4 linked regions of the Cricetulus griseus genome follow. The protein of the gene in region 3 interacts with the protein of the main gene of each other region in a pairwise test. Links are inferred from orthologs where the notes say so. Each region holds a gene or a part of one and is shown on either strand. Other genes may lie near its edges. The genes, in order: Epas1, Eef1a1, Ikbkg and Tank.

The links.
Region 1: the proteins of Ikbkg (region 3) and Epas1 interact in a two-hybrid assay, tested with the Homo sapiens proteins (2 studies listed by BioGRID, with this or other methods). The link is inferred for Cricetulus griseus from reciprocal best matches to the Homo sapiens genes IKBKG and EPAS1.
Region 2: the proteins of Ikbkg (region 3) and Eef1a1 interact in a two-hybrid assay, tested with the Homo sapiens proteins (2 studies listed by BioGRID and IntAct, with this or other methods). The link is inferred for Cricetulus griseus from reciprocal best matches to the Homo sapiens genes IKBKG and EEF1A1.
Region 4: the proteins of Ikbkg (region 3) and Tank interact in binary tests that used the Homo sapiens proteins (3 or more experiments, as listed by UniProt). The link is inferred for Cricetulus griseus from reciprocal best matches to the Homo sapiens genes IKBKG and TANK.

Annotation. Positions count from the first base shown.
Region 1 is NC_048598.1:88,385,209-88,393,278, reverse strand, and holds the start of Epas1 (endothelial PAS domain-containing protein 1), read right to left. Parts: upstream 4,559-8,070; 5' UTR 3,916-4,558; coding exon 3,890-3,915; intron 1-3,889.
Region 2 is NC_048597.1:189,543,739-189,551,744, reverse strand, and holds Eef1a1 (elongation factor 1-alpha 1), read left to right. Parts: upstream 1-3,365; 5' UTR 3,366-3,398; intron 3,399-4,342; 5' UTR 4,343-4,376; coding exon 4,377-4,520; intron 4,521-4,631; coding exon 4,632-4,811; intron 4,812-4,890; coding exon 4,891-5,187; intron 5,188-5,270; coding exon 5,271-5,421; intron 5,422-5,505; coding exon 5,506-5,762; intron 5,763-5,849; coding exon 5,850-6,084; intron 6,085-6,172; coding exon 6,173-6,297; 3' UTR 6,298-6,566; downstream 6,567-8,006. UniProt on the Homo sapiens protein: Translation elongation factor that catalyzes the GTP-dependent binding of aminoacyl-tRNA (aa-tRNA) to the A-site of ribosomes during the elongation phase of protein synthesis.
Region 3 is NC_048604.1:1,264,448-1,271,752, reverse strand, and holds part of Ikbkg (NF-kappa-B essential modulator), read left to right. Parts: intron 1-789; coding exon 790-933; intron 934-1,227; coding exon 1,228-1,370; intron 1,371-4,213; coding exon 4,214-4,275; intron 4,276-4,587; coding exon 4,588-4,730; 3' UTR 4,731-7,305. UniProt on the Homo sapiens protein: Regulatory subunit of the IKK core complex which phosphorylates inhibitors of NF-kappa-B thus leading to the dissociation of the inhibitor/NF-kappa-B complex and ultimately the degradation of the inhibitor.
Region 4 is NC_048599.1:113,240,957-113,248,261, reverse strand, and holds the end of Tank (TRAF family member-associated NF-kappa-B activator), read left to right. Parts: intron 1-3,089; coding exon 3,090-3,643; intron 3,644-6,821; coding exon 6,822-6,995; 3' UTR 6,996-7,275; downstream 7,276-7,305.

The sequences.
Region 1 (8,070 bases), on a different chromosome or scaffold from region 3:
ATGGGGATGGAGTGGGGGGTACAGGTAAAGAATAGTTAGTCCTGGGAGAAGACAGTGCTGACTTGGCTGCAGGGTAAAAGTTCAGTAGCTCATGTACTGCAAAACTTGCCTTAGTTTGGTCAAGAGTCAAAACTAAGGAAAGATCACAGGGTAAGATGAAAAGGGAAACCATTATAGGACAGAACTGGGGGAGATTGAAAAAACAAAAACAAAGCAAGTAAGTGAATAGAAAAAGATTTCTCCAAAAGAGGGAAAGCCTAAATGTTGGAAGAATTAATCACAAGTACTTCCAGGGCTGAAGTCCTGGAGCATTAAGAATTACCTGCTTGTTTCCCTCTATTTCTAAACACTTTATACCATAGATTCCTAGAATACACACACACATACACACACACACACACACACACACACACACACACAGAGAGAGAGAGAGAGAGAGAGAGAGAGAGAGAGGCTGTGACAGAGAAATTGATTTAAAATGTGAATATTCTAGTTCAGCCTCCAAAGCCACAGAGAAACCCTGTCTCGAAAAACCAAAAAATAAAATAAAATAAAATTTGAATAAAGTGGACGGTTTCTATCTCATGACTTTCATTTCATCCCTGTGAAAACACCTAACCTCGACATACAACAATCTGGTAGCTGTGGAATGTTCTCCACTTTACAAAGCAACTTGCTACATCCAGGAACTGAGGAGGGTCCCTGCATTGGTTTTGCTCAGTGAAGTCCAGCAGAGCAGCAGGGTTTTTTTTTTTTTTTTTTTTTTTTTTTTTTTTTTTTTTTTTTTTTTTTTGTGTGTGTGTGTGTGTGTGTGTGTGTGTGTGTGTGTCTGTGTTTTCTACCTGAAATAAAGAAAAGCATTGCCAACTGACTGGTTGACTTCATTTCTGTCACATCTGGAAGGCTCTTTCAATTATCTAGGAAAGTAAATCTCCAATTTTGAAGGTTCAGGGGTCTGGCAGTGGTGGTGGTGGTGGTTAGCTGCACTAACTCTTTGGAAATCCTCAGAGGCTAGAGGCATGTCAGGGCTGGGGCTCTGTTGACCATATACTGACTTTAAATGAACCAGTATTCTGCTTCTTATCAGCCCTAAATTTCTTGGTGAGGAGAGATGCCATTTTACCTTCCCTGGGCCTTGTCCAGAAAGAGAAAATATCTTTATGGCTTCCATGCTTGTTTACAAAATAATCTTAAAGCCCCATAATAAACGAACGTTAAGTCACAACACCTTCTAAAAACTCTATGAAAGCTGTATACACCAAGTACAGTTTAAGTGCCCGAACTTCGAGTGTTACATAACAGTTCTCTAGTGTTCTATAGTTCTGGCAATACAACAAAAAATGCTAACAAGTGTTGAAGGAACTCTTATTAGAGAATAAGCTTCAACTTGAGAAACCTATCCTGCATTATGTTTCCTTGACTTGGACAAATGATGGACTTTGGTTTCATTTTCCAGCCAGCATGAGAAGCTAGCGGCAGTCTGGAAACTTGAAGGTCCAGGTGTCTCCATTCCTTGGGTACCCTTGCCCTGGCATCAAGTACCAGAATACTGCTGAAAGGTACTTAGACTAGAGTCTGGCTTAGGGCCTGGACTTGGATTCCTGGCCATCCTGGGACCCGGCTTCTATTTATCTTAATTGCTCTGCCCTGCAAATCTCCACTTGAGCACATCCATACTTAGCTCTTCCCAGAGTCAGGAACCTTGGAAGACTGGTGAGACCTCTGCTTCATCTAAACTCAATAGAGCTGGACATGGTTCCCTCTGTCAAAGCCTGTTAGCCAGCCAACAATGAAAAGGCTTGCTCTTAATTGTTATGGATTAGTATATACAGGGATGCCTGGGAATAGAAACAATCCTTCTGGATTCTTGAGGGGCTGTTTCTAGAATGAAAAATGTTCAATTATATTCTAGAGAAGAAACAGCTCTTAAACCAATAAAAATACAAATCTTTCAGGAAACCCTGCAGCTCACAACAATTTCGTGAGGCATTCAATGCCCTGCTTCACAATTTTTAAATACATCTCGATGCTCTAAGAAGCCAGCCAATATAACCAGAGTCTCAATGCCATTGGCCTAACAGGCATTGGGCAGTGAGGGAACTTGCACAAGGCTTGCCCTGCCTTACCTTAACACACGCAAAATCCCTGCTGGGCTACCACTAGGGAGCTGCACACCCGCAGCGGCCTCCTAGGAGGTTCACAGGCCAGCGTGTTTCACTGGTTCTTAAAGCGGCCGCTTGCACTCATCGGTAATTTGTAGTGTTATTATGCAACTGTCTTCCTGTTCCTACTGGGGCTCCCCGCACCCTCCAACAGCCCTCTGCTAAGGAGGCTTCTGTAAGTCGGGTATGGAAGCAGCTTTTCCCATGATTGGTAGACCTAAGAGCAAGATGACACTTCACACCGATTACCATCAGGCCTCATCTGTACAAATGCGACAGTCACCCATAGGCACCGCAGGAATAAAAAGTTCAGTAAGTTCCCCTGGCGGCTCTGGGCTGTCTGACTTCGCGGTTTTGATTATGACTGCATTCTGATTGCCTTTACAGCTTGAGTCTTTTCCCTTGCTTGTATAACCTCAAAGGACACAGCACCCCAGAGCTGTTTGGTGGGCAACAACGGGGAATCTAGAACCCGACTCAATACCTTCCCCCTAGAGATCCGTCAGCGCACGGTGCGGGCGCCTGGCCAGGACGGGTGCGATTCGCTCGTTTATCAAATCCTTATCGGTGCCCTGAGGTGGGAGCTGTCGCTTTCGACCAGAGGATACACTGTTCCTGGCTCGGGTCCCTAAGTGGAAGTCCAAACAAAAGCCAGTCTGCTCTGGGGCCGAGTCCTCAGCGCAGTCCTTTCCATCCTGCCTGCGGATCTCCCGCGCGGCCCGCGCCACTCTGACATCCTGCGTTCGATTCCAGCCACCCTAGCCAAGTAGCCGCTGAGCCCAGTGTTAGACGCTCTAGCCCAAAAGGCTCGCACCGGTCGAAACAGGAGCAAAGGGCCAGGCGACTAGCCACAAACTTTTGCAGGAGGCGAGGGTGTACCCAGGGCTGCGCGGCAGCGTGGTGCGCTCGCACCCAGGCTCTGAGAGAGCCCTGCCGGTGTCGCCTGATCCGGGGCGGATTGAAGGAGACACTAGGGCAGCGCGAGTTGGCCGGAGTTGCCTCTCACCCAGTGCGGAAAGATTCGCGAGGACAGGCCTTCGTGGTTGCCCTTCTCTGTCTTCTTCAGACACTCGGAGAGGTCCGGTGTCGCCGTCCTCTCTCTGCACACTAAGACACCTGCCCCCGCAGGGCAATCCAGGTCACTACCCACTCTCTGGTGGAGTCCAGATGCAGGGCGAGGGAAGGGGGTGTTCTAAAACTTGAGTGCCTTCAGGAGCAGGGCACTTGGCCGTGTTCCGGCTCCTGGGGCCAGGAAGCGCCCCCGAGTTGCGCTTTGCCCTCTGTCCCTTACTAGTTTGGGGCGCGGAGCCCGCAAAGGAGAGCTCTCGGAAAGACCTGAAGGGGTCTTAGGAAAAGAAAGGCGTGTCTGCTCAGCAGGTAAACCCTGAGAAAGTCGAGGGCATCAGCCCAGAAACATTTCAAACCCCAGAGCTTGGTGTTCTGGGGACGACAGACTTTGGAAGGCGCCGCGGAAGCACCCCTGACCTCCAGGGCCACCTCTCTGTGACTCAAGGTCTCAGAACGATCGGGTTCGCGACTTTGTTGTGAAGCGGCAGCTGCGCGTCCGTAAAGTCCGCACCTGCTCGCTCACCCACCCACCCACCGCCACCTCCAGAGCGGTCCCCCGGCCTCCGAGACCTCCCGCAACTGTCCCGGGTCGCGCCCGCCTCGCGCGGTTCCGCCACTGCCTGGCACTGAGTTGGTCGCCGGTTCCGACGCCCGCTTACCTTTTCTTCTCCTTGTCAGCTGTCATTGTTGCAGTGTCCCTCCGAGACCCGGAGCACCTGGGTTCCTTAGGCCGGTAGGGGCTGCAGCCGCTGCCTTAGCTGTGGCCCTCGGCGGCTCTCTGTCGCCCCGGCAGGTGTGAAAGGTCTTTAGTGCTCGCAGGTCCGAGTGTCCCGCACAATCAGGTGGAAGTTTGGCGGACGCCTGGCTAGGTGCGGAGGAGGAGGAGGGAGGAGAGGGGTGGCGGGGAGGAACCTGTAGGAGGAGGCGGGGCCGGGGAAAGGAGTGGGAGGAGGTTGTAAGACGCCAAAGGAGAGAGCAGAGACAAGGGACCTGAAGTTCCGTTTATCCGCAAACAGGAGTCAGTTTTCTGGGATGTCACAAAACAAAACCAACCAGCCAACAAACAAAAACAGTGGCTCAAAGAGAGCGAGTTGGAAAGAATCCGGGGCCAGGCGAGTGCGGCCGCTGAGATGACCATACAGTCTCAGGACACTGCCGAGGATTGTACGGCCGCCTCAGGAGAGCTGGAGCGGAACGCTGGAGACTCCGAAGCTGTGCACCGGCCGCTCTCGAATGTCCGGTTTCCTCGGCTGCCAGCCCACTTTAAAAACTCGGACGGCCCGCCCGCGGGAGGGCGCGAGGGGCGCGGGAGTCCCAACAGCGGCCCGGGGGCGGGGCCGGGGTGGGGAATGGGCGGGGCCGGGGCGGGGAGACAGACAAGCTCCGCCCCTACCCGCTGGCTGCCTCGTCCCGGCCAATGAGGAGGCGCCGGCACAGCCTCTGCCCTCACCCGGGACCGCCCCTTTCTCTCCGGCTGAGCTCCTCCCTAGCTCGCCCAGCCCTGCCTCCTCCTTCCGCAGATCAGCACTTGTTTTTGTGGTACTCTCAGCGCCGGGCTGAGTAGTGGAAGGGGTCGGCTACCCGAGCCCAGAGAGTGACTTCGCTCCAGGGTCCTCTCAGTAGCACATTTCCCTGAACCAGGGCAGGACCGCGGGGTCGGGGTGGGGTGGGGGGGGTCCCACGCGCAGCGGAGGCGTGAGCCGCACTCACAGGTGCTGCTATGCGTCCCTGCCCCAGCTGTGCGGCTTCCCCTGACAGGTGGGAATAATTCCCAGGACTCCGACTGCAGTGCTGCTTGCCAGCCTGGGTGGTGCGCTCTTTTTGGCGAAGCGCAGCTGACCTTGACTTCTGAGTCCCGAGAGGCAGGAGGGGGAAAAGGTGTGGGAGAAAATGTGACAAAAATAAAATTATTTAGGGTTGCTCCTGCGGTGTCTTTTTCTCTACCAGTTTGTGGGTTGTTTGAGGTGCTTGTGGTCGGCTGTTAGGTTATGGCGCATACTAGAGAAGAGGGCCTTGGAGTTCTCCGGCCTGCCTTTGCCAGGCCTCAATAAATAAGCCAGCATCACCATGGGTTCCCTGGTGTGATCTTGGGGGTGAGCGTTGATAGCACACCCCAAGTCACTGGATCTGCCCGCCCTCTTGGGCTCCAGGGTTATCGAATAATAACACCACCTTCAGGAAGTGATGGATCTAAAGTCCCTCACGAGCAGGCAGAGAGCTCTTTTGGCCTTTTCCACTTGTGAGGTGCTCCTGCCCTGACACTTTCCCATTTCCTAATTAGGTGATCCAAGGGGAGATCTCCAGAAGGAACAAGCGAAGACTGGGAAAAAGGCCCATGAGCTTCACATGTGTGACTTACCCAGAAAGCAAGCAACTGCAAAGTGAGCTGTCCTGGGACCCAAATCCAGTACGCACTGCATTACTCTCTCACCAACGTTTCTTAGTAAAATTATAAGCAGAAACCCGGTGTGTGTTGCTGCGGGGGGGGGGGGGGGGACACGGATCTTGAGTTTGTGTAGGTACACAGGAAGAGAGGCACTTTTCAGGCATTTTCCCAGAGACTTGGGAAGGTATCTGAAGGAACCAGGAGAGCAGGGAAATCAGAAACGATAGACACTCTCCTTGAGAACTTGGAAATCAATCCACATACCTGACCGTGATCTCAAAGATCATTCATTTGTTTCACTCAAAGAAACTGGTGGGTGATTTCCTACAGCACTTCTCCATCCAGACAACACTGCCAGACTCATTTATTTGTCTTAATGAGAAACGCAAATTATTAGACATGGTTATAATAAACGGTAAGCATATTTAAGTCACTTGAGACTGGAATGGAGGAAGGGGGGAAAGTCAAACAATAATTAAAAAAAAATAAACCCAAGCACTTTGGCAGCATCAAGGACCCTAACATTGTTTTCCTCTAGAGCTCTTGAATCCTGAGCTGTGCTTGACAGGTGACTATGCAATACCTCTAACCTGCAGGGAACATTTCAGTAGGGCTGAGGTTATGAAATTTGTTTGGAAGATTTTTGTTTTTAAGAGGAAAGGTAGGGCCCTAAGGTGCAAGCATGTGTGGGGCCCTGGGTTCAACCCCTAGCAGCAGATGCTACAAAAGTCACTCAAGAAGCACAGCAGCCACATTAGCACAGCCCCTTCCCTGTGCTGACATCCCCTCTTTCTAACTGGGGTTTTAACCTACACATGAAATGGGCCTATATAATTCCCAGAAGGTCCCAGCCTTGCACAGAGCAGAACCGTCTGGTCTACCTAAAGCCTCTTAACATGTCTTCCAGAATTTAGTCAACAACCTTTGTATGGAGCTAAGAGTGTAAACCAGTCACAGCATTCTTTGTAGTTTTAGCACCTGTGGAGAACTAAAAGTGGGGGGAGAAGCTCTGAAAATAGATGGTAGGGGTGGGGGAATGGTGCCCCTGGCTTTAGAGAAAATCTCTCAAGAGACATTGATGTTAGGGCCACAGAACAGCAGAAGGTATCCTGAAGGAAAGCTTAAAGGGGACACAGATGACCTATCCCTTAGGAAGTCATCCCCCACCGGTGTCCCGTGATCCCATTGTCGTGTGTGTGTGTGTGTGTGTGTGTGTGTGTGTGTGTGTGTGTGTGTCCTGTCTCTTGGTTCTCCACTGAACTGCTTGGAGTCAACAGCTGTGACATCAAGGGACTGCCTACTTGTTTTAATAAGGGATGTGCCTGGGTCTTTGGTTTCTTCCCTTCTTTGTTGAGTGTCCCATTAGAAGGACAGCTGTTGATAAAGGCTAACCTACAAACCTAAGGAAAGCAGGTACTTGGGATATAGCAGGAAGGTGTGAGGATGACTCAGTAATCCTGTCAGAGTGACAGACATGACCCAGGATATGGTTTGTAATCAGGTTGGAGTGGCTAGGTCTTAGCAGAAGAGACCGAGAAAGGCTGGGCTATTGCTTTAGTGTTTGACAGACTTTCAGTTCCTTGTCACAATGGGATCAAGAAGAAAGACAAGAGTAGCCCCTAGGACTCAGAAATGGAAGGAGATACTCAAATTCACAAAAACCTGCACTTGCCACTGTCCTGCAAGTACACTGTCTCATGTGACAGTCCTCTGAATTGTCAGGAACAAGGAAGGTAGCAGAGATGGGAGGAAGGGCTAGCTGGGAGAGGTCATTGCTCCTCCCCCTTGACAAACCTTTCTGACTCACCCCCAAGAGTTAATCTGCATTATCAATTTGACTGGATTTAGAATTACTTTGGAAACACAACTCTGGGCTTGTCCATGAGGGTGTTTCCAGACTCTATGAACTGGAATCCCAGACTGAATAAAAAGGAGGAAGTGAGCTGAACACCTGCATTCATCTCTCTCTCTCTCCTTCTCTTTCTTCCTCCCTCCCTCCCTTCTCCCCCTCCATTCCTCTCTCTCTCCCTCTCTGCCTCTTCCTCCCTCCCTCCCTCTCTTTCTCCCTCTCTCCTTTCCTTCCACCTTCCCTCCTCTCTCCTACAACCATTCTTGTATCACAATAACAAGAAAGGTTTTTACTTTTACTCAAATAGGCACTCACCCCTACACACACACACACACACACACACACACACACACACACACACACACACAGCTCCATTCCAAACAAAACCAACCTATGCCATGACTTTACAAGACCTATTTTCTATATTCATGCTCTAACCCTGAACACTGGTACCAGACTATCATCCTCCTATGTGTGGCTCTTGGCCAACATCCTGAGGTCATTTCCTAGACGCGTGCTATATATGTTATTAAACATTATGACTTTTGGCCCATATACTCAGGATTTGTTGTCATTCTGAAGAGGTTCTGTGATTTTATTCCACT
Region 2 (8,006 bases), on a different chromosome or scaffold from region 3:
GGCCAGACCCCCAAGCTTGGGAGGCAGAGTCAAGAGGATTTCTGAGGCCAGCATAGTAAGTTCTAGGCCAGCCAGGGCTGCATAGTAAAATCCCTCAGAAAACAAACAAGTAACACACAACAAATAGGGCTGGAGAGATGGATCAACAGTTAAGAGCACTTGGTTCTCTTGCAGAGGACAGTTCAGTTCCCAGCGCCCAGATCAGGCAGCACACAACATTCTGTAGTAGCTAGCTCCAGGAGACCTGACACCCTGACCTCTGAGGACACCAGGCACACACGTTGTGCATAGAAACAGATGCAGGCAAAACATCCACACATATAAAACAAAAAATTAAAACCAATAAAACTCCTAAACTTTTGGTCTTTCTTGAATCTTCAATCCCTCAGGTTATGAAATAATCATTTATGCAGTCAAAAATTTGCCATTCTTGTTGCCAGGTGTGGTGATGATTCGGGGAAGCAGAAGCAGGCAGATCTCTGTGAATGAGGCCAGCCTGGTCTACAAAGTGAGTCCCAGGACAGTCAGGCCTGTTACACAGAGAAACCTTGAAAAAAAAAAGATAATATGTACTGTTGTATTACCCCAATATATAAGGCTAAACCATTAGAAGCACAACACTGTTAAGTACGGAAAATAATATCTAGTGTGGTACAGTTACTACTACTATAATACACTAATATAGCTGTGGGAAACTAGTTCCAAAGATGAATTACTAACCAGTGTTTCCAAGGAAATAAATGAAAGCAGAGAGATTAGTTCTATTGCTAGTGTTTCATTTTCGTATATTTCTTACAATTTCTCTTGTTACAAATAGGCACTAGGGTATCAAGATAATTTTAACGACTGGCTGAGAACCCTAGAAAATCTCTGTGAAAAAGGGATTTGTGAAATGAGAGAGGGTAATGTGGCCATTATAGAAAAGGCTTTTGTGTGCCTTGCATGCATAGACCCTGTGTTTGATCTCTTAACACCCTCCTTGACCAGAAAAAGCTTCTGTGGATAGAAAATGATTAGTTATATATACTTTTAGGGAAACGTAGTTCTGGATTCTTTGGTTACAATTAACAGAATTAAGTGCAAACAAAGCCAGAAACCTCCTGATAAATGAGAAAACCTGCTTGTAGAAGGTTGTAAGGCTCTGTAATATAGGAATTAGGAGAAAAGAAACCTGTGTGGTGGGGCACGTCTGTAATCCCAGCATTGGGAAGTAGAGGTAGAAGATTAGAAATCAAAGGCCAGCCTCAGCAACACAGTGAGTTTGAGGCCACCCTGAACTACATCAGGTTCTGTCTCCTTTCTTTTTTTTTTTTTTTTCTTTTCTTTTTTTGGTTTCTCTGTGTAGTTTTGGAGCCTATCCTGGCACTAGCTCTGAAGAGCAGGCTGGCCTCGAACTCAGAGATCAGCCAGCCTCTGCTGGGATTAAAGGTATGCACCACCAACGCCCCAGGTTTTGTCTCAAACAAACAAAAATAACATCAGGAGGTGGTGAGAGGGCTCAGTGGTCACAGGCATTCTCTGCAAAGCCTGACTCTGAGTTGGATCCTTTAGAGCTACATGGTTGAGGGAAGAGAACTGACTCCTGGAAGGTGTCCTCTGGTCCCCACACATAGCTATACACAGCATGTGCATTCACACACACTAAATAATGCTATTTTTAAAAAAATTAAAAACAACAACAGTTTGGGTTGTGAAAACTAGAACTAGATAATAGGTAAGAATCAAGTATCATGTAAATTTGCTTTCAACTCATCCCAAAATTTGTTTTATATTTCAGTTTTTTTCCTTCCTAGCTTGACTGTGGAGTCTTGTCCGGAAGCAAATAGTTCCTTTGCAGATCCCACATGTGGACACCGGACAGTAGGTCCTCAAATGCTCCTTATTAGGTTGGTTCAATAATATCAATTGTTTGTTACTAGGCAGTGATGTTGTACATCTGGAGGAGATCTCTTGAGCCCATAATCAGGTTATTAGGAATAAATACTCTAAGGCTAAAAATGTAGCTTAGTGATAAGAGTGCTTGCCTGGTGTGCTGAGACCCTCGGTTCCATCTCCACAACCCCATATTCCATTACAAAATACCTTTTCACCGTCCCTAGCATTAAGAAACAAAACAACAAAGAAGTTTTTCTTTCTTCTGAGATCCTGCCCGGAGAGGCATTTAAAACTGGCCAGGGCCAAAAAAAAAAAAAAAAAAAAAGAAAAAAAAGAAAAGAAAACAGGCTAGGGCCGGCATGGTGGCGCACGCCTTTAATCCCAGCACGCAGGAGGCAGAGGCAGGGCGGATCTCTGTGAGTTTGAGGTCAGCCTGGTCTACCTAGTGAGTTTCAGGGCACCCAGGGCTAAAGAGACTGTCTCAAAAACAAAACAGCCACACAATCAGAACCACAGCAAAACGCAGTTATGATCCTTGGAACTGTAGGAATGACAAGCATTTAAATAATAGGACGAGCCATTTTTGAGAAGCTCTGATTTCACAAGTGTCAGGGATGGGCTCTGGGCGAGTAAGATTGCTAATGCTGGCCTCTAAATGAGACCACGTGGAGTTGATTAGATTCTTTTCATGTTCCTCGTGCTCTATCAAATAACTGTACCCAAATACACACACACACACACACACACACAATGCGCGCACACACAAAATCCTTTTTTAGCTTAAGAAGCCCAGAATCAGAAGTAAAGCTAACTGTGGGACTTAAGTATTATTCTGAACGGAACTCCCAGGGCGTGAAGCGCGCTTCAGGCTTCCAGAGAAGCAGCTGGCGCTGGATGGAATGAACCAAGAGGCCAGCACAGGGGCAGATCCGTCGAGCTCTCGGCCACCGAGCTGAGCCCTTAGGTTCTGGGGCTGGGAAGGGTCCCTAGGATTGTGCACCTCTCCCGCGGGGGACAAGCAGGGGGATGGCGGGGCTGACGTCGGGAGGTGGCCTCCACGGGAAGGGACACCCGGATCTCGACACAGCCTTGGCAGTGGAGTCAGGAAGGGTAGGGACAGATTCTGGACGCCCTCTTGGCCAGCTCCTCACCGCCCCACCCCCGACTGGAGCCGAGAGTAATTCATACAAAAGGAGGGATCGCCTTCGCCCCTGGGAATCCCAGGGACCGTCGCTAAATTCTGGCCGGCCTCCCAGCCCGGAACCGCTGTGCCCGCCCAGCGCGGCGGGAGGAGCCTGCGCCTAGGGCGGATCGCGGGTCGGCGGGAGAGCACAAGCCCACAGTCCCCGGCGGTGGGGGAGGGGCGCGCTGAGCGGGGGCCCGGGAGCCAGCGCGGGGCAAACTGGGAAAGTGGTGTCGTGTGCTGGCTCCGCCCTCTTCCCGAGGGTGGGGGAGAACGGTATAAAAGTGCGGTAGTCGCGTTGGACGTTCTTTTTCGCAACGGGTTTGCCGTCAGAACGCAGGTGAGTGGCGGGTGTGGCCTCCGCGGGCCCGGGCTCCCTCCTTTGAGCGGGGTCGGGCCGCCGTGCGGGTGTCGTCGGCCGGGCTTCTCTGCGAGCGTTCCCGCCCTGGATGGCGGGCTGTGCGGGAGGGCGAGGGGGGGAGGCCTGGCGGCGGCCCCGGAGCCTCGCCTCGTGTCGGGCGTGAGGCCTAGCGTGGCTTCCGCCCCGCCGCGTGCCACCGCGGCCGCGCTTTGCTGTCTGCCCGGCTGCCCTCGATTGCCTGCCCGCGGCCCGGGCCAACAAAGGGAGGGCGTGGAGCTGGCTGGTAGGGAGCCCCGTAGTCCGCATGTCGGGCAGGGAGAGCGGCAGCAGTCGGGGGGGGGACCGGGCCCGCCCGTCCCGCAGCACATGTCCGACGCCGCCTGGACGGGTAGCGGCCTGTGTCCTGATAAGGCGGCCGGGCGGTGGGTTTTAGATGCCGGGTTCAGGTGGCCCCGGGTCCCGGCCCGGTCTGGCCAGTACCCCGTAGTGGCTTAGCTCCGAGGAGGGCGAGGCCCGCCCGCCCGGCACCAGTTGCGTGCGCGGAAAGATGGCCGCTCCCGGGCCCTGTAGCAAGGAGCTCAAAATGGAGGACGCGGCAGCCCGGCGGAGCGGGGCGGGTGAGTCACCCACACAAAGGAAGAGGGCCTTGCCCCTCGCCGGCCGCTGCTTCCTGTGACCCCGTGGTGTACCGGCCGCACTTCAGTCACCCCGGGCGCTCTTTCGGAGCACCGCTGGCCTCCGCTGGGGGAGGGGATCTGTCTAATGGCGTTGGAGTTTGCTCACATTTGGTGGGTGGAGACTGTAGCCAGGCCAGCCTGGCCATGGAAGTAATTCTTGGAATTTGCCCATTTTGAGTTTGGAGCGAAGCTGATTGACAAAGCTGCTTAGCCGTTCAAAGGTATTCTTCGAACTTTTTTTTTAAGGTGTTGTGAAAACCACCGCTAATTCAAATCCAACATGGGAAAGGAAAAGACTCATATCAACATCGTTGTCATTGGACACGTAGATTCAGGCAAGTCCACCACAACCGGCCACCTGATCTACAAATGTGGTGGAATCGACAAACGAACCATCGAAAAGTTTGAGAAGGAGGCTGCCGAGGCAAGTATTCGAAGGGAAAAGGTCGGGGGGGGTGGAAATCTACCGTAAGCAGGAAATTGTTTATTTAGAAACTAGATGTTTTGAGTGTACTAACTGCGAATCACTGAACAGATGGGAAAAGGCTCCTTCAAGTATGCCTGGGTCTTGGACAAACTGAAAGCTGAGCGTGAGCGTGGTATCACTATTGACATCTCCCTGTGGAAATTTGAGACCAGCAAATACTATGTGACCATCATTGATGCCCCAGGACACAGAGACTTTATTAAAAACATGATTACTGGCACTTCTCAGGTTTGTGAAATTTACTACCTTCTGACCCTTACCTCCAGCTGGAAAGCTTTGTTATTAACGGGAGGTAACTTTTTCTTAGGCTGACTGTGCTGTCCTGATTGTTGCTGCTGGTGTTGGTGAATTTGAGGCTGGTATCTCCAAGAATGGGCAGACCCGTGAGCATGCCCTTCTGGCTTACACCCTGGGTGTGAAACAGCTAATTGTTGGTGTTAACAAAATGGATTCCACCGAGCCACCTTACAGCCAGAAGAGATACGAGGAAATTGTGAAGGAAGTCAGCACCTACATTAAGAAAATTGGCTACAACCCTGACACAGTAGCATTTGTGCCAATTTCTGGTTGGAATGGTGACAACATGCTGGAGCCTAGTGCTAATGTAAGTGACTTGAAGAAGGTGGTTAAATGGAAAAGCTGTAAGGGGGGAGAGATTATAAAACATTTGGCTACTCTGCATTTCAGATGCCTTGGTTCAAGGGATGGAAAGTCACCCGTAAAGATGGCAGTGCCAGTGGTACCACACTGCTGGAAGCTTTGGATTGTATCCTGCCACCAACTCGTCCCACTGACAAGCCACTGCGACTGCCCCTCCAGGATGTCTATAAAATTGGTGGTAAGTAGAGCATTCGGACACTGGACTAAGATGTTTTGAGGTGTGTTCAGTTGTCTTCACCTTATATACTGTAAATGTTTTTAGGTATTGGGACTGTTCCTGTGGGCCGAGTAGAGACTGGTGTTTTAAAACCTGGAATGGTGGTTACCTTTGCTCCAGTCAACGTTACAACAGAAGTAAAGTCTGTTGAAATGCACCATGAAGCTTTGAGTGAAGCTCTTCCTGGAGACAATGTGGGCTTCAATGTAAAGAACGTGTCTGTCAAAGATGTCAGACGTGGCAACGTTGCTGGTGACAGCAAAAATGACCCACCAATGGAAGCAGCCGGCTTCACTGCTCAGGTAAACAAGATAGGTGTCAAGAGTGTAATATTGATAGCAGCATGCAAAACCTGAAGGCAAGATTTAACCAAATGCTGTTTCTTTCAGGTGATTATCCTGAACCATCCAGGCCAAATTAGTGCTGGCTATGCTCCTGTACTGGATTGTCACACAGCTCACATAGCATGCAAGTTTGCTGAGCTTAAGGAGAAGATTGATCGCCGTTCTGGTAAGAAGCTGGAAGATGGCCCTAAATTCTTGAAATCTGGTGATGCAGCCATCGTTGATATGGTTCCTGGCAAGCCCATGTGTGTTGAGAGCTTCTCTGACTATCCTCCACTGGGTAAGTAGAACTTAAGTTTCTGTTGCACTGAGTATTGTTTGGATATGAAATGCTGTATGAACAAGTGCTCATAACTGTTTCTGTGTAGGTCGTTTTGCTGTTCGTGACATGAGGCAGACAGTTGCTGTGGGTGTCATCAAAGCTGTGGACAAGAAGGCTGCTGGAGCGGGCAAAGTCACCAAGTCGGCCCAGAAAGCTCAGAAGGCTAAATGAATATTACCCCTAACACCTGCCACCCCAGTCTTAATCAGTGGTGGAAGAACGGTCTCAGAACTGTTTGTCTCAATTGGCCATTTAAGTTTAATAGTGAAAGACTGGTTAATGATAACAATGCATCGGAAAACCTTCAGGAGGAAAGGAGAATGTTTTGTGGAACATTTTTGTGTGTGTGGCAGTTTTAAGTTATTAGTTTTCAAAATCAGTACTTTTTAATGGAAACAACTTGACCAAAAATCTGTCACAGAATTTTGAGACCCATTAAAATACAAGTTTAATGAGAAGTCTGTCTCTGTTAATGCTGAAGTCATTACTAAGTGCTTAGCTTAGCAAGGTATGTGGATGCCCATTTGTGTTCCAAGGGATTGGACTGTTCATCAGGACCCAGAGCTGAGTTTCAAGGGCTCAAGAGATGGCTTATTACCTGTGGGTGTCTTGAAGGTTCTGGTTGGGACAAATTAGGAATGTTTTTGGCAGACATGGTGACTACCCTTCATCTGGGTGAGTTCAGTTGATTTGTCTTGAGCCTTTGGGGTTTACACAAGTAAATGACATCATACAGTTAGTGTATTGTTAGTGAATATTAATATATGAGGCAGGCTTTGCTCTAGCAATTTTAGAACTAGTTTTCAGGAAAGGGTTCATCTTGTGCATTGGATGTTTGATTCTATCACTTAGAGTTTAAACTGAAAGTGCTCAAGAGGTTTTATTTAGGCTGGGATATAAATAAGCCTTTCTGTAGCTTGTAATGGTATCAGGAATTTAAAAGGCCATCTGGGGCACAAAGATTAAGCAGAAAAGGTAGAAGGTGAGATTGGGGGACTTTGAGTACTTCACACACTTTAATGTGTGAGTGCTTTAGTGCATATAGTACAACTGCCAGATAAGGGCATCCACATCTGATTGTTTGGAAGGCACCTTGTGGTTTCTGGGAATTCAGAATTGGGAGAAAAAGTGCTCCCAACCGCTGAAGCCCTTGGTAATCTGCAGGGTGTTTATTTAGCAGGAGATAAGGACAAAAAGTTATAGTGTGGAGTTGGTTGAGTTGGTAGATGTCATTACAACAGGTGGTCTTAAATTGGGTTAGGAGTCACTTTGAAATACCTGGGCCATAAGCAAAGTGGCATTTTCACCTTTCAGGAGAAACTGGTACACTTATCCATTCTATAGTGCATGCTTGTTCAATTGGGCTGATGACTAAACCGGTGACTAAAGGTTTGTCAGTATAAATGGATGGGTTGTAGGCAGACGGTGAGGAATTACTATACCTGCAAGGAGTCATTGCCTGATCTGCCTGGAAAGGGGCAGGATTGAGTCTCAGAAGGTGTACACCATAGGATATGGAAAAATTTGTCACGCCTAGCATTCAACTTAGTGGTGTAGCGCCACCTACTGGCACTTTAAAAGCTTAGCATAGAGGAGCATGTGTGTTAGGAGCTCGGATGGGATCCAGGGCCTCAAGGTTTGCATGTAAATAAAAGCCCTTTACCAAATTAACTACATACCAGCATACATCAGTCCTTTAGTGTTGAAAAACAGAAGTGAAAGCTAATATATATAGTGCTTGCTTTATTTAAGTCTAGCTGATTACGTGTTTGGTTGCCAGTGTGACTAGTCTGGAGTTGAATTTGTCCTCAGACACGTAAAATGGAATTTGGGATTCACAACACTCTAGTATGAGGGACCTAATGGCCTGTACCAGGCAC
Region 3 (7,305 bases):
CTGCACAGTGCCAAATTCTTTCTATGAGGTCATAGTCACCCTGATACTCAAACCACACAAAGACCCAACAACAAAAGAGAATTACAGACCAATCTCCCTCATGAACATTGTTGCAAAAATACTCAATAAAATACTGCCAAACTGAATCCAAGAACGCATCAAAAAATCATCCACCATGATCAAGAAAATCTTTTAAAATGGCTGCTTAATCTCTGGAGGGAATTCTTGGTTGAGAACATGGGTGCATGTGTATAGTGTGTGTGTGTGTGTGTGTGTGTGTGTGTGTGTGTGTGTGTGTGTGTGTGTGTGTGTGTGTGATAAGCAGACCTTTGACCAAGTGGCAGAGTTGAAGGACTCATGGGTTGCAGCCTTGTCTGATGTGTGGTGGGCTTTCAGTCTGTGGAGGGTTAGTGCATAGTACTTACTGTGGAGTGGGAAGCCTCGAAGAGAGGGTGGCTCCTGTCCTTGAGGAGTTAGAGGAAGACTCCCTAGCTGGGAATTCTCTGAAGGAGATGATGCAAAATAAGAGGCAGTGCCTTTTATATCCTCAGAGTTCCTATCAGTCCTAAGATCTTTGTGCATCCTAAGAAAGACCTCAACATTTATGTACTGTGGGGCCATAGCAGGATGAAGCCTTCTCCCTGCACACATTGAGATTTTGTCATTTGACCTGAATCTCAGACTGGATTTGCTCTAGATTTTCCTTCTCAGAATAGTGGCCAGCCAGGGAGGTAGTTTGGCCCCACTGTGGGCCAAGAGACTCTGTGAGCACCCTTTATCTTTCTCTAGGGAATGCAGCTGGAAGATTTGAGGCAACAGCTCCAGCAAGCTGAGGAGGCCCTGGTTGCCAAACAGGAATTGATTGATAAACTGAAAGAAGAAGCTGAGCAACACAAGATTGTGATGGAGACTGTGCCAGTCCTAAAGGCCCAGGTGAGAGCTCTGCTCCAACCTGCCTGCCACATGAGTGACCCACCCTCCCAGGCAGTGGGGTCTGGTGCACCTCTTTGGCATCATTCTTTGGTGGCCTCTTTTAGTCTTCTTGAGTCCTTTGCATTGGTCCTTGACCTCTTGGTGCCCTTGGGATCACAGGCTTTCATATCTGTTCCTAGTGTACTATCATGTGGCTCTGGGGGACATGACAGGATTCTGTTCCTGTGGGGCATGGCATAGAATGCCTGATGGGCAGCTGATGGATAGTTGGCATACCTTTGTTCTATTTGCCAGGCGGATATCTACAAGGCTGACTTCCAAGCTGAGAGGCATGCCCGGGAAAAGCTGGTGGAGAAGAAGGAGCTTTTGCAGGAACAGCTGGAGCAGCTGCAGCGCGAGTACAGCAAGCTGAAGGTTGGCTGCCATGAGTCAGCCAGGTGGGCCTCTAAGAGTGTAGCCAAGAACACAGCCACACACAGAGCAGTCATATACTAGCAACAACCAGTAGTAACTGCAGGAGATTGATGACTCTTGGTGTTTGCATTAAGTTCCCTTTACCTCCTGCTGCTCTCCCCATGTTCTGTCCTTCCAACAGTGACCTTTACCACTGGTCCAACTAGAAACTTCACAGAAATGCATGTATTGATAGGTATCTAAGGCTGGAGTTTTTGAGGGGATGTTAGGTTTCCTAGTGTCTTAGTTTGGTTTCCATTACTGTAATAAACATGATGACTAAAATAACTAAGGGAGGAAAGGTCAGATTATAGTTTATAATCTGTCATGGAAAGAAGTCAGGGCTGGAATCTGGAGGCAGAAACTGAAGCAGCAGCCAGAGGGGAATGATGCTTACTGCCTTGCTCAGCTTGCTTTCTTACACAACCTAGCCCACCAGTCCAGGGGTTGCACCACCCACTGTAGCTGGGTATCTCACATCAATTATTAATCAAAAAAAGCCCCACAAACTTACCTACAAGCCAATTGAGATTCTTTCCAGTTTGTGTTGATAAAAGCCAACCAGCACAGTTAACCCCTTGTCAACTTGACATACAAATACACCAAAACCTTTCCTTTCTTATTTGTTCTCCAATTCATGTTAAGATGACAATATAAAACATAAATTTAGGCTGGGCAGTGGTGACACATTCCTTTAATCCCAGTACTTGGGAGGCAGATGGATTTCTGAGTTTCAGGCCATTCTGGTCTACAGAGTGAGTTCCAGGACAGTCAAGGATGTTACACAGAGAAACCCTGTCTCAAAAAACAAAAAACAAACAAACCCTCCTCCCATAATATTGAAAGTCCCACAGTCTTTAAAACATTCCATCACTCTTAAAAAAATGTCTCTTTAAATGTCTAAAGTCCATCAATGGGCTCCTATAAAATAATAAGGTACATATTTTTTTACTCTAAGAGCGAAGAACCATGGCACAGTCACAATCAAATCAAAGCAAAACCAAAATCCAACAGTGTAAAAAAATGCAGTGCTTGATGTCGGGTATCCACTAATAATCCTCTGGGCTCCAAAGGGCTTAGGCAGCTATACTTCTCTGGCTTTGCCATTCATAGCACACATACATACTTTGTCTCATAAGCTCAGGCTGGCTTCTCTCCACAGCTACTGTTATTCTTGGTGGTTGTCCCATGGTACTGGCATCTCCACTGCACTGAGGGTGCACCTTCACAAATAACTTCTCCTGACCTCTCAAATAGTACCAAACCTCAGCTGCTTTCCATAACCCCTTCATATAGCCCAATTTGACTGCTAGCATGAGATGCAACATTGACCCACTCTGAACCAGAGCTTCTGTGTACTGACCCTGAGGATATACTCACTGGATTCTAGAGTCTAGAAGATTTCACCTCAGTGATGCTGGTCTCTTAATCACTTTCTTGGCTTCAGGTAACCAGCATCAATTGTGCCAGTAAAGCAAAGGTTTTACTTCAATGCTGCTGGTCTCTTGTTCATCATACCTGATTCTTCAGCTCCAGCTGACCAGAACTACAGATTCTTATTTCAAAATACCACATGAATGACTGTGATAGAATCTTTGCTTTGCTTCCCTCTGAAACTTTACAAGCCAGGCCTTCATCATTTTCATTGCTGTCAGCATTCTTATCTTCCTTGGCTCCCACAGAACAGCCCATTAAGCTCTAACTACTTGATGATGGCATTTCCAGTCCAAAATTCCAAAGTCCTTCCACAGTCTTTCACAAAACAATATGGCCAGGTCTGTCTTAGCAAATCCCCAAGAGCCTGGTACTAATGTCTGTCTTAGTTTTGTTACTGTTGTGATAAACACCATGACCAAAAACAACTTGGGGAGGAAAGGGTTTATTCATCCTACAGTTTTACTATGATTAGGGAAGTCAGGGCAGGAACTAGAGATGGGAACTAAAGCAGAAATCATGGAGGAACTGCTTTTTGGCTTGTTCTCCATGGCTTGCTCAGCTTGTTTTCTTATATAGCCCAGGTGGTTACCTAAGGGATGGCACCATCCCTAGTGAACTAGGCACTCTCACATCAATGATCAATGAAGAAAATGCCCCACAGGCTTGCCTCCAGGTCAATATAATAGGGACGTTTACTCAATTGAGGTTCCCTTTTATCAGATGACTCCAGCTTGTGTCAAACTGACAAAAAAAAACCCACAAACAAAAAAAACTAACCAGTACAAATAGAGTTCTCCCAAATTCATGTCTACCTAAAACCTCATAATCTGACCTCATTTGGAAATAGTATCTTTGTATATATAGCTAGTTAACATAAGGTCCTATCAGGTTAATAAATTGACTGTGGTCTTTATAGAAGCACCACATTAAGATACATAAGGCAGACACAAGAAGGCCAAGACAAAGAGTCTGGGATTCAGCTATAAGCCAAGAAATTCCAACGAATCTGTTAACTATTATCATCTAGGGGAGAGTATGGTACTTCTGCCCAGTCCTCTGATACGTTGATTTAGGGCACCTGGCCTCCTACATCGTGCACATTTTTGTTATTTTTAAGCTACCAGGTATGTGGTAGTTTGTAGTAAGGTTCTGAGAAAACTGATGTAGGGGGAACCCAGGAGTAATTGCTAGTAAGTACAAAGTTTCCTTTGGAAGATGATGAAATATTCTAAAATTATACAAATGATTGGATATGCTGAATATAGTAAAAAAACACTGAATGATACAATTTAAATTGGTGAATTGTATGGTACATGAATTATATCTCAATGAAGATGTTTATTCATAAAAATTCCTGCAGGCATTGATTGAATGGTTTTTGTTTTCAAAGGATTGAGGATATGAGGAAGCGACATGTAGAGACTTCCCAGCCCCCTTTACTCCCTGCTCCAGGTGAGTGAACAGGTGGTAGATGATGGGTGGAGATGGATAGGGAGGGCAGAATATTGTGCTGAGGGAAAGCATGCATTAGCCTCCCTGCTGCTCTGATTTGGGGAGCTCTTGTTGGCCATCCCCAGCAGTAGCCTACAGCACCCTGAGGCAAAAGGAGGAATGTGCTGGTAGAGGTGGCTCCCAGCCACACATAGTCAAATATGGTGGTATCTGTAGGTCTTAGTACCTTGTTAGCCTCTCCTTCCCTTTTGAGGTCTACCCAGTCTGTTCATGAAGCCTATCCAGCTGGCCTCTGTTTTTTTTTTTTCTCAGCTCACCACTCCTTTCATCTGGCTTTGCCCAACCAGCGGAGAAGTCCTCCTGAGGAACCACCTGACTTCTGTTGTCCCAAGTGCCAGTATCAGGCACCTGATATGGACACTCTACAGATACATGTCATGGAGTGCATAGAGTAGGAACAGCAGATGTAAGGCCACTTGTAATACCATGTCCTGAACTATGCAACCTGTGCTTTCCTGTTTCACCTGCATAGTCCACAATTAAGGGCTTGTTGTCAAAGAGCTGGCCCCAGGACCTAGTTGGATCCTTGCTTTAGCCCTTAGGCCTGCTAGTTCTGCACTGGGATAGACAGCCCCAGTCAGGGCTGTGTTTTCCCCTTTTCTTCTGTGTGCCTGAGTCAGTTGCCTCTGTAGCTTCTTCCTCCCTCCTGTATTCTCCTAGGAAGTCTAGAATGGAGGTCAGGGGCTCTCAGGGAGCATCCCTTCTCCAAGCAGGGCTGGGTGCAGCTCTTCCTCCAGCTGGTGCCTTATTGCCCTGAGCTGCAGCCTGCCCTCCCAGGGTATGTGCCACTTAGGGCCATAACATGTGTTGCCTCTGATGGACATTTGGGAAGTATTCCATCTTTTTGCTACCGTAACTAATGGTGTAGTGAAAGTACTTGTACACTGATCTATGTGTACCATTAAGACATATGCTTAGACATAACATTGGAGCCTTGCCGTGGAGGAGGTTGGTCCACCTTTGTGTTTCTGCCATCTGCTAGACATGTTGTTCTTTACTAAAGAGTGTGCTTAAGTGTCTTTTTCTGGTGTATGTGGGCCCTTTTTAATTCTGCTGATGTAACTTGGATTTGCATATTTTCTACCCACTTTTCTGTCTCATCATTGCCATTTGTTCCTGGGGTGCTCTTTGATCATGAGTCAGATTAGCTCTTGTCTATCACAGAAAGTGCACAACTTGTTCCACTTTGATTGTGTTACCGTTTTGGGTCCTGGAAGCTGTTTATGTACTCATGTCCATTCTTTACTCCCATATTTTGGCTTTGGAGTTATGACTGCTTTGTGATCTGACATAAGGGTATTTCACATACATGCTTTTCTTGTTCTAGCCCCAGTGTGCTCTTCTCTTTGGAAAGCACATTGTTGTCTTGTGTGAATGTTGGTTTCCATAGTTCATCACACTCGAGAAGTTTGTGATGGCATGTTCTCCACTAGCCCAGATAATTCTGTCTTGGGAACCATTTAGTAGTGACTGGCAGATTGTGAACAAGGTTCTAGCCATTTTCTGGGACCTTACAGTCATTGGTATTAGCCTTGCTATTCTAGTAAAGTAAAGGAAGTTGGAGTTGAGAAAGCAATAGATGTGCCTTGCTGACTCCTCAGGCCTGAAACCCTTTCTGCCCTCCTGCAAGCTTTCATGTTTCTGAGTGGGATCTGTAAATCAATCCCTGCCTGGGCTTTATTCACAGGGCTTCTTGCCGATTAAGAGAGAGAAGGTTGAGTAGAATTAGGATTTAAAAAGTAAGCCTGAGCTGGGGGCTTCCTCAGAATTTCCTGTTTCCTAATTCCCAGGTATCTATCAGACAGATCTTTGGGGAAATGTTAAAGGAATAGACATGTTCTTTGCTCATGAACCCTTCATTTAAATACCTAATTTAATTTTCCTTCAGGACTGCTATTGATTTGGTTTGATTTAGTTCAGTTTTGTGGTGGCCAATGACTTTCCTATAGCTGTCCTAAAAATTCCCAGAGGCTTGAAGCAGCAAAAGAATCACTCTTTTATGTCTGGAAGTCAGATATTAAATTTCTTCTGAGAATCAATTCCAGGCTTTCTCTCAGCTCTTGGTAGTTTTTGGCAGTCCTTGGTGTTGCTTGGCTTATAGACCCATCACTCCAATCTCTGGTTCTAGGGCCTAATGGTCTCTTCCTCTACACCAAATTGTAGATGTGGGGTCTATCTGGTAATTAAGAAGCTCAAGACTCTTGCCTCACTACACCTTCCATGACCCTTTTCCCAAATAAAGTCATGTTCTCAAGTTCTGAGGGTTTGGGCTTACACAACCCAGAGTAGGGATATCATCAGAACCTGAGTGCAGCCCAAAGGCAGGACTCTAGGGTGATGGTGACTGCTAGGCTTCAGAATTTGGAGGAGGTCAGGCCCTTATAGGTGCTATGCTCCTAGCAGGGCCAGTGGGTGTGACTGAGAAAGGCAGGTTGGCTGTAGCAGGAAAGAGCTGTTTACTTCTTGAAGTAGCTGTATGGGCTTCATGCTTCTTGGATAAATAGAGATACATAGGTACATTTCTGACCAGTACTTTATCCTGAAAGTGGTGCAGAAAGCTGGTGTTGACCCAGGTTGCACAGCAGGATCACCTAGAAGCCTTGAAAGCTTGAAAACATTCTGGCTTGGGCTCCATAGACTGGTCAAGCCAAAATCTGAGGGTGGCCCCAGGCAGTGGCTGGGATCTAGTACCCTTCTCAGAAGGTGGGAGCTCTTGACACCTCCTTACCCTGAAGTATAATGGGCAATTAACCACACATTAAATACCAAGGATCTGGGATCCTACCATCTTCCCTGACGTGGGACATGCTTCTTTCTTTTCTGGAATTATTTAATTAGACCTGGAAAAACTAGTTGTTGGTCCTTAACCCCTCACACAAGGGAATTAGCCTATTTGCTTTTATGAGCTATGGCCCCTAGCAGACAGCTTCTGGATCCAGACATCCAGAAGCATATTCTTCCCCAGAAGTC
Region 4 (7,305 bases), on a different chromosome or scaffold from region 3:
ATTGTAAAAGCTGCATGCTCACTGGCTTTTGTCTCGGTGAGGTATTGGGATGACAAGTGTTTCATGGACTTTGTTTGATTTCATCTAAGCTCAGACTTCTAGTAGTCATCGGAATCTTAGAATCGTACTCTTACCACATGTACAGATTAACTCAAATTACTTAAATGTAGCTAAGCTCGTATACCAGCTAGCTATTCCAAAAGAAGATACTGGACTACTTCTTACAGCTGACTGATGTTTCCCTGTTTGCTTTGGAGGGGGATTAGGTCAACTGTTAAGAAAGTCACTCCAAGCACAGTTCTGCCAGCTTGACCCTCTCTGTGTAGAAAGCAGCATGTTCAATTTAACATAATGGCTCTGACAACACTCTGGAGTTGACTACCTGGGCTTTAGTGCCAGATTTAGCTTCACAAGCTGAACAGCCTTGGAAGTAGCCATGGAGTTAACCTCTCCATATCCATTCCTTTGCATATAAATTAGAGATAATAATAGTGCCTGAGTTGGCGTTCCTTTGAGTATTAAGTGGATTAATGTACATACCACAGTTAGTGCATGGCACATGGAAGTGCTATCAGTGTTAATATTCGTTGCCATTAGTAGCAGCTGCAGATGCTAAAGCATTTACCTTGTTCTCCTGAAAATGAGTTGAGAAGATATTTCTTCTCAGGTATTGCAGAGCTTTACTCCTGTTTCCTAGCATTTCCTACGACCCTCAAGTTGACTACCAAGAAAAGTGACTACTTGAGAGTAAATGAACTTTGTCAACCTCAAAGGTCAAAGAAATTCAGCAAAACAATTGAGTTTGGTCTCAATTACTGTACTGTTTCTAGTCACAGCCAGAATGTCTAGTAAGTATGGGTTATAATTCTAGATCCTGTGAGGAAAAGAATATAGTATCATATGTGTGCCAGGCACTAGGTGGGATATCTGGGTAAACAGGGAGCAGAACATGGTTTCAGGTGCCATAGAAACCTGTTTTAATGGGGGAGGGGAAGTCTGTTTGCAAATATAAAGATGTTCAGTCCTCAGAGTACCTAAACGTCATGGGAGAGCCATCCAGAGAATCAAAGTCTAGGTCAAGGTGGGAAGGACAAGTAAGAGTTAGGCGAAGAGCTACACATTGCAATGCCTATAGCCCGGGCTAGCAAGGCCAGGGCTGGAGTACTGAGAGTTTTGGGGTAAACCTGGATGCCATAATGAGGCAGTCTGAGGGAGAGAAAGGGGGAGATGTGTAGGTGTGTATGTAATGCTACAGAATGAACTAAAGAAGGTGGAGGCATTGTACTACACACCATATCCAAACAGAAGGCTTTTTCTGTTGGAATGTACTATGGCAACAATAAGTGTCATAAGACCCTAAAGATCAAAACAATATAAAGAAATTGGCACTTGTTGAATGCTACTAACGTAAACAGACTGTGGAAAGTGCTATGTATATCCTGTACTCTTATGCCTGCTTCATTGGTAAAGTCTTCATTTGTGAATATATGACTTCACTAATGACTATTAATCTGTTGAATAAAATGTATTGCTGCACGAATAGTACTGCACACTTGTAATTCCAGCCCTTGGGTGGTGGAGTCAGGAGGGTTAGGAGTCCACTGCTAACCTCACCTACATTGGAAATTCCAGGCCAGCCTGAGCTTCATAAGACCCCCATCTCAAAAACAAAAGCAAATAAACAAATGCACTGCAAAACACATTGGCTTCTTGAAGTGGCATTGTGGAACCTATGTTTTTTCCAGTATCTCGGGATCATAAACATGAACTGTGCTTTGATAATTGTTGGGTGTGTTTTGGTTTGCTTTGGTACTGTGAAATATATCTCTTGCTATATTTATTACACTGTAGCCTTTGTTGGCTTTTTTTAAAAGATCTAATTTTAACCATGGGTATGTGGGTATGTGCATGAATGTGGGTACCTGTGCAGGCCAGAGATATAGGATCCCCTGGAACTGGAGTTATAGGTGATTGTGAGCCACCAGTGTGAGTTCTGGGAAATGAACTCTAGTCTTCCTGAAGGGCATGTGTACTCTTAGCACAGAGCCGTCTTTTCAGCTCTATACTCTAGTGTTTTCTGAATTCATAACTCCACATTTTTGGTTTACTAGCCTCCTCCCATACTGCCAGCATTTGCTGACTTCTTGTCTTTCTTTAACAGCTCATATTTCCATTTAATTTGCTATGATCTCTGTCACTCTAACTGGTTCCTCAGAAGTTCTCCTTGCCAGCATGTGACTATACCCTAGAGATTTTGTTGGAGAAAAGCTTATTATGAATGAGCTAAAGCAGCTTTGGTGCCCACCTCATATCTGCATGTTAGTCAGAGAGCCTTTCTAAATATGAGAAATGATATATACACATCGTTTTATTTCTCTTTCTTTTTTCTTTTTTTTGAGACAGGGTCTTACCATATAGCCCTGGCTATCCTTGAACTTGCTGTGTAGATCAGGCTGGCCTGGAATTCACAGAGATCCACCTACCTCTGCCTTCTAAGTGCTGGGACTAAAGGTGTGCTATACCACACCCAGCCATATTCACATGTAATTCCTTAAAGTACATCCCAAGATATCAATCTCTTTTGCCTTCACTGTCTTCTTTTTTTCCTGATTCTGACACCACTCAGTGTAGACAGTGACTAAACTGACTAAAGTTATACCTAATAACACATTGCTATTAGGGGAAATGAATTAACTTATTCCTGTAGTAAATGATAAATGCTCTAATTATTCATATTCATATATATATATTTAAACTTAGAATTGTGGCCTCTGTTACAAAGTAAACATATAAGCTACAATCATTTTTGTAAGTGTAAAGCAGTGTAATTGAGAACAAGATGCAAAGCTTATAGTAGAAAACCTAGGAGAAAACAAAGCAATTAAGTTGCAGCCTGTATGCTGTTTGGTTCACCTGCAGGGGACTGCTATTATCCTCATGGAAGATGGGAGCAAACATAAAAATACCAGTTGTCTTCAGTTGGTATATAAACCAATAGAAAAACAATAGTCCTCTGCCTAAAGCTGTTTCAGCTGTTTTTTTCAATGATTTGAGTGTGACTATTTCCCTCTGTATCCTTTTTCCTGCAGACACACAGTGCTCTGTGCCTATACAGTGTACTGATAAAACAGAAAAACAAGAAGCGCTGTTTAAGCCCCAGGCTAAAGATGATAGAAACAGAGGTACGCCGTGTATTGAATCTGTTGTTACACCAAGAGGACTGGGCCGAGATGAGGAAGACACCTCTTTGGAATCACTTTCTAAGTTCAATGTCAAGTTTCCACCTATGGACAGTGACTCTGCTTTCTTACATAGTACTCCAGAGACACCGAACATCCATACTCCTGCCACATCTGAGGCAGTGTGCCAGGACAGATTTAATATGGAAGTCAGAGACAACCCAGGAAACTTTGGTAAAACAGAAGAAACTTTATTTGAAATTCGGAGAATTGACCCCATAACTTCAGCTATAGAGAACCTTAAAATAACTGACAAAACAAAACCCTCAAATCTTAGAGCTCCGTGTTTGCCAGCTGGAGACCATAATGTGTTCTATGTAAATAAATTCCCACTTCAGGACCCGCCTGATGCACCTCTTCCCTCACTGGATTCCCCAGGAAAAGCTGTCCGAGGACCACAGCAGGTAACTGTTTTGCATTAACAAATATTTTATTATGTGTGAACACACATTTTGTCATACATGCACAGATACGAATCTCTTTTAAGTTACCAGACATCCACTTTAAATTAATGACTATCCATAGTTGAGGCTTTCAGTAAAATATGTAAGTTATGTAATAAAGGACATGAATTTTGAATATGAACATGATAAAGGTCTCTCGTGGGTTTATGGCATGGCTTTACATGCTTAGTCCTTCAGTCACAGCTTGTTTATAGCAGTATTCTAGTGGATGGTTTATTCAATTTGATAATGTGAAACAAATACTAAAAGCTATACACATAACAATACTAAAAGTTATACACATAACAATGTATAATTTTCCATAAGTAGATAACTGCACCAAATATTAAAAATAAACTGTCATTCAGCCTACTTGTTACATTCTCAGTTATGGTAGTACATAGTTCTGTAAGGTTTAGTGTGGTTGCTAACCTGACACTTAACAGACATCTTACATATTTTTTTCAAATAATGAGTTATTTGAAATGATTCGTATGAATGAGTTAATCAAATGTCTATTTACTGTTTATGAAGCATGAAGACTTTATAGCCCATGAATCTAATCCTACCATCCTGTCTTTCAGATTCAGGGTTTTTTTCACATAAATATTCTTTTTGTTAGGGAGGAAAATAAATTTTGTTTAGTTCCTAAAGACAAATGAAAATAAATAGAAGCTTGTGGGGAAAAAACAAAATCCTCATTTGAACTTTTGAACATTTAGTTTTCTTCAATATAGAAAAATTCCTTTGGCTTTAAGTATTCTTAGCAGCTAAAGGTCTTTAAACAGTGTGTAAGGGAGGAACAGTCAGACTGGAGTACATTTCAGTAGTAGGTAAAACTAGGGGTTCTGACAAGTCTTAATTATTAACTCTCTGCCTTCTACCCTGTACCTTATTTCACATCATGGTCTCAGCTATAGTTGCTACCAAATGAAACAATTAAACAATTTCATTTATTGCTAGTGGAATTCCTGTGGAGCTGTGAACTGCATCAGTTCTAATGCTTGTTACTCTCTCTCCATTATATCTCTTGCTTGTTCTTTTCCTAGTCAGTCTGTGCATTCATGTTTCAGTAGATGGCACCCTGCATTGTACATTTACTTTCTATATTGCAGCAAGGGAAACAGCTGGTATGTGATTACAACTTGATGGAAAAGTATTCAGCTTTAAAAATTCAAGAGAATTGGTGTTGAGCTGTCACAAGTCATGGGGCATAAGGTTAGATAATTGATATTGTGGCAGAAAAAGCAAAGAAATTGGTTTGGTTTAAAGGCCACGTTACAGTTGTAGTTTGCAAAAATATTTATTTAAATGAGTATTTTGAACATTACTCTTTGGTATTAACAAAGCCCATGGGTACAATTCTTGAGTGGTCCACAGATAGTAAGAAAAGAAGTTTTGATTACATACTTTATTTTTACTTTATATTAATCATCATTACCAATTATGTATTTTTCACTTCAGTTTTCATAGCAGAGACTAAAATCTATATCGGCTGATTTTTGTTCTGTGTGATTTTCTTTTTTTATTTTTGCTGAGTCAGTAATCAAGCTTCCAATTAAATTCTAAGAACAGATCGAATCTGAACTAAAAGCTACTGTTAGATTTGAAAAGTAAATTGTCAATGGAAGATTGGCTTACCAAATTTAGGAACTGGTTCACTTTTAAGCTAATTTCTTGCTGTTTTATCAATCTTAATAAAAAATACCTTTAATCATTTCATTACTAGCCACCACAGTTTTGCATTAGAGTGTTTGTTTTTTTTTTACTTTTTCATTAAACTACAGCCAGTAACATTTGAATCTAATTAACTCTTAACTAATTCCATTTATAATTATTACTGCTTTTCTGTCATCAGGGAAATTTTTCAACAAAAAAGTGCTTTACCCCAAATTTTATGACATTTATTTTAGATATTTTTAATTTTGTGGCAACAGTCACTTCCCATGAAAATAAGTTGAGTCCACATTCTAAGGTGTTTGTAATAACTCTTCAATGTGTCTTGCTACCAAAACAGAATTTATATATTAAAACTGCTGTACACAGCTGTCCTGCAGTGCTCATTATTAGACAGTGATGCCTTGAAACCCAGATACTTCAATTAACAATACTGTTTATGTAAATACTTAGCTAACTAGAATGAAGTTAAAGGTGTAAACACTGTCAGGTGCCGAACTAAACTGTGTTTCATTAAAAACATTAGTAATTGGAGCACAAAGGAATCTCTTTGAATGGTATTATGAGGTGACTCTCTTAATTTAGCTAGGTCAGGGTAATTCACCTGTGTCAAGGTACAAATAAGTTGTTAATAATCGGGCTTATACAGTCAGGAGAGTTAGATATTCTTGTCAACATCATTTTTAAGTAGCTACTGTTAAACTAATTCCTGTGTAGTATTATTCTAGACTTCTTTAAAGGATATTTACAAGTTTTTGTTTGCTAATAAGTACACTGGAGCTGGTTCTATTTAATTACAACTTTCCAAAGTTCTTTAATTGGGCAACTATTGACAGGTTTTTATTTTATTCATCTGCAAGAAAGAGTGAGGCCAAACTATAAAACAGGCAAAGTAAGCAATCAAGAGAACATGTCTCAGTTTAAATATTGTCGAGTGATTTAATATTTGAATTCTTTTTAAACTGACAAATGGAATTTGTGTAGTAGTTTAAAAGAAACTTTTCTGAAGAAGTCAAAATGCTTATTATATGTGATTTGTTTATTTGGATTTTGAATTGCCTTTAATAAAAGTGTGCTTGTACATGTATTATTACAATTTAAGGTTCCTTAAATTGTGAAGTAGAAAATATAGAACTTCATAAAGTCTAAAGTACTGGCTATTGTTTCAAAACTATTGCCATTGAGATAACTGAATATTGATTGGAGAGATGGCTCGGTGGTTAAGAGATAACTGAATATTAACGACTGCTGGTGTTAAACTGGAGTATTTTTAAACACATAAGGATAAAATTCAGGAGTATGTGGTTCAGTTGTGCCCACTCTGAAAAAGAAATCTGCTTTAACATTAGATAATTTCTGATAAAAGCTCATATAAAAGTCATTCATATATTTGGATTTGAAATTCAATGCAAGTTGATTTTAAATACAAATAACAAAAGATGTTTTTGTTTGTTTCCTGCAGCCCTTTTGGAAGCCCTTTCTTAACCAAGACACTGACTTAGTGGTACTAACTGGCACAGACTCGGAATGCCTTAAAGCTCAAGTGTGTGAATTCTGTCAAGAGCTTTTCCCACCGTCCAATACATCCAGGAGGGATTTCCTCCGGCATCTTAATTCACACTATCATGAGACTTGAGTCACATTTGAAAACAGACATATTATGTTCTCTGATGATTCTGGATTTGTAATGCTGGAGAATGCTTGCTTGTAAGCTAGATTTAAGATGGTTTATAAAAGAAATTCAGTCATAGCTATTTGAATTTTTTTCTAAACTTGTTACCTTAGCTTTTGAGATCATTTTGTCTAAAATTAATTCATTATATTCATGTTTACACTATTACAATAATTCAAAATTATGCATGTGACTTAGAGTTACATAATAATTTATGTCTCAAATATATACAATTATTGTTTGACTCGTGAGATGTATTAAATTTGATAATGCC